2 linked regions of the Coturnix japonica genome follow. The protein of the gene in region 1 purifies or fractionates together with the protein of each later gene. This does not show direct contact. Links are inferred from orthologs where the notes say so. Each region holds a gene or a part of one and is shown in the gene's direction. Other genes may lie near its edges. The genes, in order: nuclear cap-binding protein subunit 2 and KPNA3.

Region 1 (3,905 bases):
AAGCACATATATGCCATGTCATCCATCAGTGCCTTCAGCTCCGATCTGAAGTTAAACCAAACAGCAAATCCTGTTTGAGAAGTGGTGGACTTCAGAAACATTCAAATATGTTCCTGAACAAATCCCATTAATCTGCTGTATTGCTGAAACAGCCTGACATATGTTTCTGTCAAGTCCTTTTCCAGGCCTAGCAAAACATGACCTGATTTACCCCATCCATCTGGGATGAAGTTTTCTCACATGCATTCATACATACAAAATTTGTGCAACAGCACATCGCCACATCCAAAACACAACTGAATCCCCGGCAGCTTTCAGAACACATTATGTACATTGTAAGCAGATGTTGTGAAATTAGAAAGGGCTGGAAAAGAGAAGTGTATCAGATTTGAAAACACATCTATAGTGTGACTTTAACTCTTTGGCCTGTATTGAATTGTAAGTGGTGGAAAGGACCCTTTGGGGCCATTTGATTCAGCTCCCTGCACTGAGCAGGGACACCCACAGCTCTGTCAATGCTCAGAGCCCACCCAGCCCGACCCTGGGTGTCTGCAGGGATGGGGCACCCAACTGATCTCCGGGCAACCTGTGCCAGTGCCTCACCACTCCTACAGTAAGAAACATCTCCCCTATATCCAATATAAATCTCCCTTCTTCTAGTTTGAAACCATTTCCCCTAGTCCTGTCACAACAGACCCTGCTACAGAGTCTGTCCCCTTCCTTCTTACAGCCTCTATCTACAGGCTGCTCTCAGCCCTCTTGAGCCTTCCCTTCTCCAAGCTGCACAGCCCCAGCTCTCAGCCGGTCCTCACAGGAAGGTGTTCCAAGCCCATGGTCATTTTTGTGGCTCTCCTCTGGACACACTCCAACAAGATTAAGTGGTTTAATCGTCCTCAGTAGCAACCCAGAAACTTCTGATGTTATCAGATAAACAACAAAAGCTATGGACTGGAAACTCTCGTTAAAAGCTGATGCAGCTTTGCACAAAGGTAATAAACCCTGATAACCCAACGTTGCGGACAAGCCGGCAGTGCTGAGCGCCCCATGCACGGGGAAGGACAGGCGGTGCGCGGCCTGCTACCTCCGCCGCGCTGCCGTCCGCCTCACTGAGGGCCCCCGCCGCCTGGAACAGCTCCTCGGTGAGGGCCGCGATGCGGGGCGGGGCCTCCTCCCTCAGCAGCTCACGGAGCAGCTCTGCAAGACAAGCCGGGAGGGAAACGTCAGGCTGAGCGTCGGAGCGGCTACGCAGCCGCAGCCGCAGCCGCAACCGCAGCCCCCGGGCGGCGATATTGAGCGGCCGGTACCTCCCGCCGCCGCCATCCGCCCGCCCACCATGGCCGACACCGCCCTGAGGAGAGCGCCGGGCCACCCCGCGCTGCATGCAGGGAGCGAAGCGGCGCGCGGTGATTGGCTGCTCGGCACGATCGCCCCGCCTTTCCGCCCCGTGTAGCCAATCAGGCTGCGCGGCGGTTGGCCTGCCCGCTAGGCCGCTGTCCTGCGGGAGTCGCGGCGGTTGTGGAAGGATCCCGGGATCAGGGACCTGCCGGGAGCCGGCGAGACAGAGAGATGTCGGGGCTGCTGCACACCACGCTCAGCGGGCTCAACAGCGACTCGTACTGCGAGATCAGCCGATACCGGGACCAGCACTTCCGGGTGCGCGCGGGGCGGGGGCAGCGGGGCCTGAGGCCGAGGGGCCTGTCTGGGGAGGGGGCTGCGGGCGGGGCGGGGCCGGGCTGCCAGGATGTGATGTGCCATAGTGTGGCCCCGTCACGGTGTGGCCCCGTCACGGTGTGGCCCCGTCACGGTGTGAGCCCGTCACGGTGTGAGCCCGTCACGGTGTGAGCCCGTCTCGGTGTGGCCCCGTCACGGTGTGAGCCCGTGCTGTGCTCCGCTTTGCCCTCAGGGGAGCAAAAAGCTTCAGGAGAAGTTCCTGAAGATCTCCTCCACGCTGTACGTGGGCAACCTGTCCTTCTACACCACCGAGGAGCAGATCCAGGAGCTGTTCTCCAAGTGTGGCGATGTCAAGAAGATCATCATGGGGCTGGACAAGGTGAAGAAAACAGCCTGCGGCTTCTGCTTCGTGGAGTATCCTTTCTGGGCCCTATTTGCAGTAAGATCAGCTGTCAAAAACCCTGAAAGGAGTGAAACTCACGGGGCTCCCTTCCAGGCATACTGCTGCCTGCATTCCCAACACCACCCAAACCACCCGCATTGCCATAGGTGAAAGTCGTGTGTGGATGCTGAGCCCTTGTACGGCCCAAGCTATGGGCACGTGTTCACGTTCTCACCTTGGCTTCACACCTGCAGAACCAGCAGGGAGATCCGTGGTGCTGTTCCCAAGCACAAGGCATGTGCTCGTACACGTTGTGCTGCGAGCTGTTTGCAGAGCTCTCCTGTGAGGCCGGTGCCTCCTGTTCAAATTCAGTTGAGTTTAATGTGGTATTAAAAAAAAAAAGCATCAGATTTCTTGCCCTTAGCAAGGCTTTAACGGTTTGCTTTATCTACTTGTGAAATAAGTGATCCAAAGCTGTTTCTTGTCTGTACAGGTACTAACATTGCAGCCAGAACCTGAGGAAGGAGTGGGAGCTATTTTCAGCTTGGATTTATAGAGTACAGCTTTTTGATCCCATAGAAAAGAGCGGGAAAAGTAGAAAAGGCTGGAAGACAGGAAAGGTTCTTCTGCTTCTTAAATACAATGGCTTGATATTGGTGTTTTTTTTACCCTACAGGCAGCAAAGTGGCATGTTTAGTTTTCCTTATGGTATGGTTTAGATATTACACAAGAGCAGATGCTGAGCACGCAATGCGATTCATCAACGGCACACGGCTCGATGACCGCATTGTTCGAACAGACTGGGATGCAGGATTCAAGGAGGGACGGCAGTATGGAAGAGGAAAGACTGGTGGACAGGTAAAGGCAATACCAGCTCAGGCCTTGAATACAGTCCCCCTAGGGCAGTGCTGTTTTGTTTGTTTTGTCTCATTCAGAAGTGCAGACCCAGCAATGAATTTTAGGTGATATTGGTAACTAGTGCTACCTTGGTATAAAGAGCTGGAAGCATAACTATGGCTACAGCTGGACAGGACTCCATGACTCCTCACAGTACAAGCGAAATTTTCCCTGTTCCAGGCTAGCAGTTTTTAAATGATGCAGAATTTGAATGGGGAGGGAGCACAATTTCTAGATCCATGATGGATTCATGATCCATCAGTTTGCCCTGTGAGAAGCTAAATTTCCCTTACAGATTTCTGGAGGGTTGGGGAAGGGAGAAACGCTCTGGAGGCCAAGCTTAGCAGTTCAGAGAGTTGGAAGCTGGATGACAAAGCTGAATCAAAATATTTTGGGATCTTTGCTTCCCCTCTAAAATGATCTGACAGCAGATGTATCCTCATTTGTCACTTGCACCATCTGTTTGGTGGATTGTTTGAAGAGATTTCAAACTGAGTCAAAGTAATTCTCACCTGAACTTCATTTCTCAGACTACGGAGCAAGGAAGTGGTGATGATTCTGAAGCCTAACATGATGCTAATACTTGTGTTACTGCCTTGCTCCAGGTGCGAGATGAATACCGGACAGACTACGATGTGGGAAGAGGAGGTTTTGGCAAGATTATACAGATGCAGAAGGCAAATCAACAGCCTGCAGTCTACTAATTGCCTCATGGGTTCTAGCTCGTAGAGGGCTCTGTTCTTCTTGAGCTAGCCGTGTTCTTGCGTTTTGGATTGGGGTAGGGAGTGAGATCCAAGTTCCAGCAAAAGGTGACCCTCCTTAGACTGTGGATATACATGTGTTCATTCCCCCTTTCTTCTGGATTAGAGAGGATGTTCTGTGCTGATACAGGGCAACAAGGGAAACAAGTGGACAACTCTGCAGGATTCTGGTAAGAAGAAATGCAGCATGTCAC
Region 2 (3,905 bases), on another chromosome or scaffold:
TGATTTGGAGTCTGTGGTAGCAATTGGGATCTCTTGAGATCCCTTTCAACCTCTGCAACTCCATACTATGATCACCACCACTGTATATAAACATACCACCTATTTGGTGGGTGTAGGTTTACGGATTGGTAAGCTGAGTTGCCTCAGCCTCAGTACACTTCCCATTTTTTATTCACAAGTTTTCCACTTTACCTCATAGGTTATGTTGAATGGATCTGAACAAAGTCCCTTTGTTCGTGGCAATGGCTAGCAGCTCCTCCAGAGGATAAACGCAACACCCCTGTCTGGCAGTGGCTGCGCCGGCACTGCTCTGATGTCCAAGCGGCTCTGAGCAACCGCAGCTGGCGGCCGCACCACCTTCCTTGGCGGGCAAAGAGAAGTTCTCAGCTACTGAATCTGCTTCGGCAGCTCTCCTGAAGACAGCTGGGCAGCTGGATCCCATTCTCCTTCACAGCAGCGAGTGTCAGGCCTAGAAGCCACCTTGACGTGGCTGGGTGTGAATGTGACATGGCTTGAGGTTTCTGAGGGAACTGGGTGCTATTTCCAAGAAACATGCTCTTCTTGAGGAGAAGCTGAAGGAGCTGGGAATGTCCAGCCTGGAGGAGGCTCAGGGGAGACCTTACAGCTCTCTATAACTTCCTGAAGGGAGGTTGTAGTGAGCTGGGGGTTGGCCTCTTCTCTTGTGTTGTTAGTGATAGAACTAGAGGGAATGGTTTTAAGCTGCGCCAGGGGAGATTCAGGCTGGACATTAGGAAGTATTACTTCTCGGAAAGGGTAGTCAGGCATTGGAATGCACTGCCCAGGGAGGTGGTGGAGTCACCGACCATGGTGGTGCTCAATGAACATTGGATGTGGTGCTGAGGGCCGTGGCTCAGTGGGAGCTGTTGGTAACAGAGCTGTTGGTAACAGAGCGGTTGGTAACAGAGCTGTTGGACTGTTTGATGATGTCGGTCCTTTCCAACCCTGGTGACGCCGATTCCCCACATCACCCTCTCACTGTCCGCCCCATCCTCACCTCAGCGCTCTCACACAGCGGCGCTCAGCGCACCCTCAGTCCCTCACACCGCAGTTCGCACATGGCCGTGTTCCCTCATTAGCTGTAGCTCCGTCTGTCCGCACTGTGCTCCCACACTCGTGTCGCTCCCCGTGTCCTCAGGCCTTGGCGCGGCGCTGCCGGCTCCTCCCGCTCCACGTGCGAGGCCGCCGCCCGCTGCGGACTACACCTCCCAGCACGCCCCGCGCCAACGCGGTGCACACCGGGAAGCGCGCTCCGTCCTTCAGCCCCAAAGGCGCAAGCGCGGCGGGCAGGGGGCGGGGCTTAGCGGCCGGATCCGCGCTGTGATTGGCTGCGTGCCGCCCGCCGCTCTGGCAGTCACTGGGCAACGGCGGCGCGCCCCCTCCCCCCCTCCCCTCCCCCTCCCGCCATTCTCCTCCCGCCCCCCGCGGCGCGCGCTCGTCACGGCGCGTCCCCCGCCCCGCTCTGCTCCCCCCCGCCCCTCGCTCCAGCCGCTGCCGGAGCCGCCTCAGCCGCCGGGAGCAGCCGCCGCCATGGCCGAGAACGCCGCCGCCTCCGCCGGCCTGGAGAACCACCGCATCAAGAGCTTCAAGAACAAGGGCCGCGACGTGGAGGTAGGCGACGGGCCGGCGGGGCCTGGCCTCCGCCTCCTCCTCCTCCTCCGGCAGCGGGCGGGCGGCGAGAGGAGGGGCCGGGGCCGGGGCCGGGGCCGGGGCCGGGCCGCGCTCGCGGCGCTGCCGGCGGGAAGAGGCGGCCGGAGGGGGGGGAAGCGCCGCGGAGCCTCCGTCACTCGGGCGCGGCCGACGGGAGCGGGGGGTGGGACGGGGAGGGGGGCGGCCCCCGGCACTGCCGCCCCCGGGGCCACGGAGCGGACAATGGTGCCGCCGCCTTTTGTGGCCGGGCCGGAGCCGTGCGCCCATCCCGGGGCCGCTCCTCGCCTCCTGTGGGGCTTCCCGGCCCGCTCCGCCCGCAGTCAGCCTGCCGTGCTGTGTCTAAGTGTCGGTAGGCGCCGAATTGGCGGCTGGCTCAGTCGGAGGCACCACCGGGGCGATGTGGGGCTGAAGGCCCGTCTGCCCCCCGGCAGGGATCGCTCCGCAACGGGGCTGGGCTGGGAGCTCATCCCACCCCTGTTGTGTTTGAGGTTCTGTAACGGGAAGAGAAAGGGGTGGGAGCCGTGCTGGAACCTCAGCGGGGCTCGAATCAGATGAGGGTTCACAGGAATGAAAGGCTCAGGCCGTGTCAGTGTGCGCTGACTTCTCCTAAGGGTGCTCCTCACCTCCAGTGCTATCACCGAGATGGACTTCTGCGATCGGCCCTTAGGATCGCGTGTGGTGTCTGTGCAGGATCCCCACCTCTGCTATTGTCTGGGTGGGGACGGCTGGCTGCGGGTCGGGCTCAGCGGCGGCGGTGCCTTGAAGCAGACATTCCCCCGATGCGAACTAATCTTTCCTTTAATTTTTTGCTGAACTTACGATGGTAGAGCTTCCTCGCAGTAATATCGCGTGTGAGGAGCTCTTTAACTTCAACGCTTCTGGGTAACGCTGGGAAACGTTAGGAAGTAGCTAAAAATTCCCATCTTTTCTTGAAGCAGTTGCTTCTCAGGGCAGGAGGAGGCGTGGTGGGTTCCTCCTTCCCTTCTCCTCCACCGAGGCTCTTCCTGTGGCTCCTCATTCATTTAAACCCATGCCTCAGCTGCCCGTGCTGCTCGCTGGCTTTGTTGCTGCTTCCTCAGCCCCTGGCCTGAATCCATCGGAGCTCCAAACAGGGAAAGGTTAGGTATGTCGATGCCCGGTGCAAACTGAGCCGTCATCCATCCTTCCTTATGTTATAGCGTGCCCAAGATGGGGGGGGGGGGAGGGGGAATTAAATATCTCCCTCTGTGTGTGGGGGGGAGAGGAGAATTGACAGCCTGAGCTTCACTGGGATTAGTTAGAGCAGCCCTGCTGAGGTCCCCCCGCTCTCAGGAGAATGTTTGCTCCTGAAGCGGAGTAATTATTTTGGAATAGGGTATTTGCAGTTCTGGAGAAGCGGATCCTCCAGGGTTATCTCCCAGTCTGCTGACTGGATCCTTTTGTGGCTGAGCTCAAGACTGTGCCGGATAACCACGTTAACTCTGCTGGAGCTGAAGCTGGCATCCCTGCTTTTGGGACAGGTCAGGAGCTGAGATGAGTCTTTTGTGGGCGCCAAGCAGATTAAACACAGGAATAAGTAACAGTAGAATGGATACTCACTAGAGTGAAATTTAGATTCATTTAAAAGAATTAGAGATGTCAGTGTCTGTCATGTCTTAAGGACAACTTAATTCCTATCACATATCTGAAATTTTCTACTGTACGTCCTTTTTGACTTGATTTTTGTTTTCTTGATCATGATCCTTATTTGAAAGCTCGAGTTCAAAGTGCTTCTATGAGTAAATTTTATGTAACTCGGGTGTCTAGAATTTAAGCTAAATTTATAGCAGAGAAAGAAAGAAGCGCAGCGGTGCTGTATAATTGCTATCACTTACTGTACTTATCCTCAGATACCACTGTATGTCCTGATGGTGTGTCCGTCTGTATTCATTGAGATGATCAGTTCTCACAGAATCACACAATGACCCGGGTTGGAAGGGACCTCAAGGATCATGTAGTTCCAACCCCCCTGCCTGGCAGGGCCACCAAACATACACATTTACTAGATCAGGTTGCCCAGGGCCCCGTCCAACCTGGCCTTGAACACCTCCAAGGACGGGGCATCCACAACCTCCCTGGGCAGCCTGTTCCAGGGCCTAACCACTCTCCTAGTGAAGAACGTCCCCCTAACATCCAACCTAAATCTTCCCTCTTTCAACTTGGTTCCATTTCCCCATGTCCTGCTATTGTCAGCCCTTTTGAAGAGTTTACTCCCCTCC

What was found.
Region 2: the proteins of nuclear cap-binding protein subunit 2 (region 1) and KPNA3 purify together in Homo sapiens (co-immunoprecipitation; 3 studies listed by BioGRID and IntAct, with this or other methods). This does not show direct contact. The link is inferred for Coturnix japonica from reciprocal best matches to the Homo sapiens genes NCBP2 and KPNA3.

Annotation. Positions count from the first base shown.
Region 1 is NC_029519.1:2,393,663-2,397,567, reverse strand, and holds the start of nuclear cap-binding protein subunit 2, read left to right. Parts: upstream 1-1,438; 5' UTR 1,439-1,566; coding exon 1,567-1,653; intron 1,654-1,903; coding exon 1,904-2,085; intron 2,086-2,772; coding exon 2,773-2,911; intron 2,912-3,555; coding exon 3,556-3,654; 3' UTR 3,655-3,905. Other genes in the region: TEX11 (testis-expressed protein 11), read right to left, coding at 1,082-1,194, 1,305-1,335. UniProt on the Homo sapiens protein: Component of the cap-binding complex (CBC), which binds co-transcriptionally to the 5' cap of pre-mRNAs and is involved in various processes such as pre-mRNA splicing, translation regulation, nonsense-mediated mRNA decay, RNA-mediated gene silencing (RNAi) by microRNAs (miRNAs) and mRNA export.
Region 2 is NC_029516.1:151,498,357-151,502,261, reverse strand, and holds the start of KPNA3 (importin subunit alpha-4), read left to right. Parts: upstream 1-1,451; 5' UTR 1,452-1,548; coding exon 1,549-1,629; intron 1,630-3,905. UniProt on the Homo sapiens protein: Functions in nuclear protein import as an adapter protein for nuclear receptor KPNB1. Binds specifically and directly to substrates containing either a simple or bipartite NLS motif.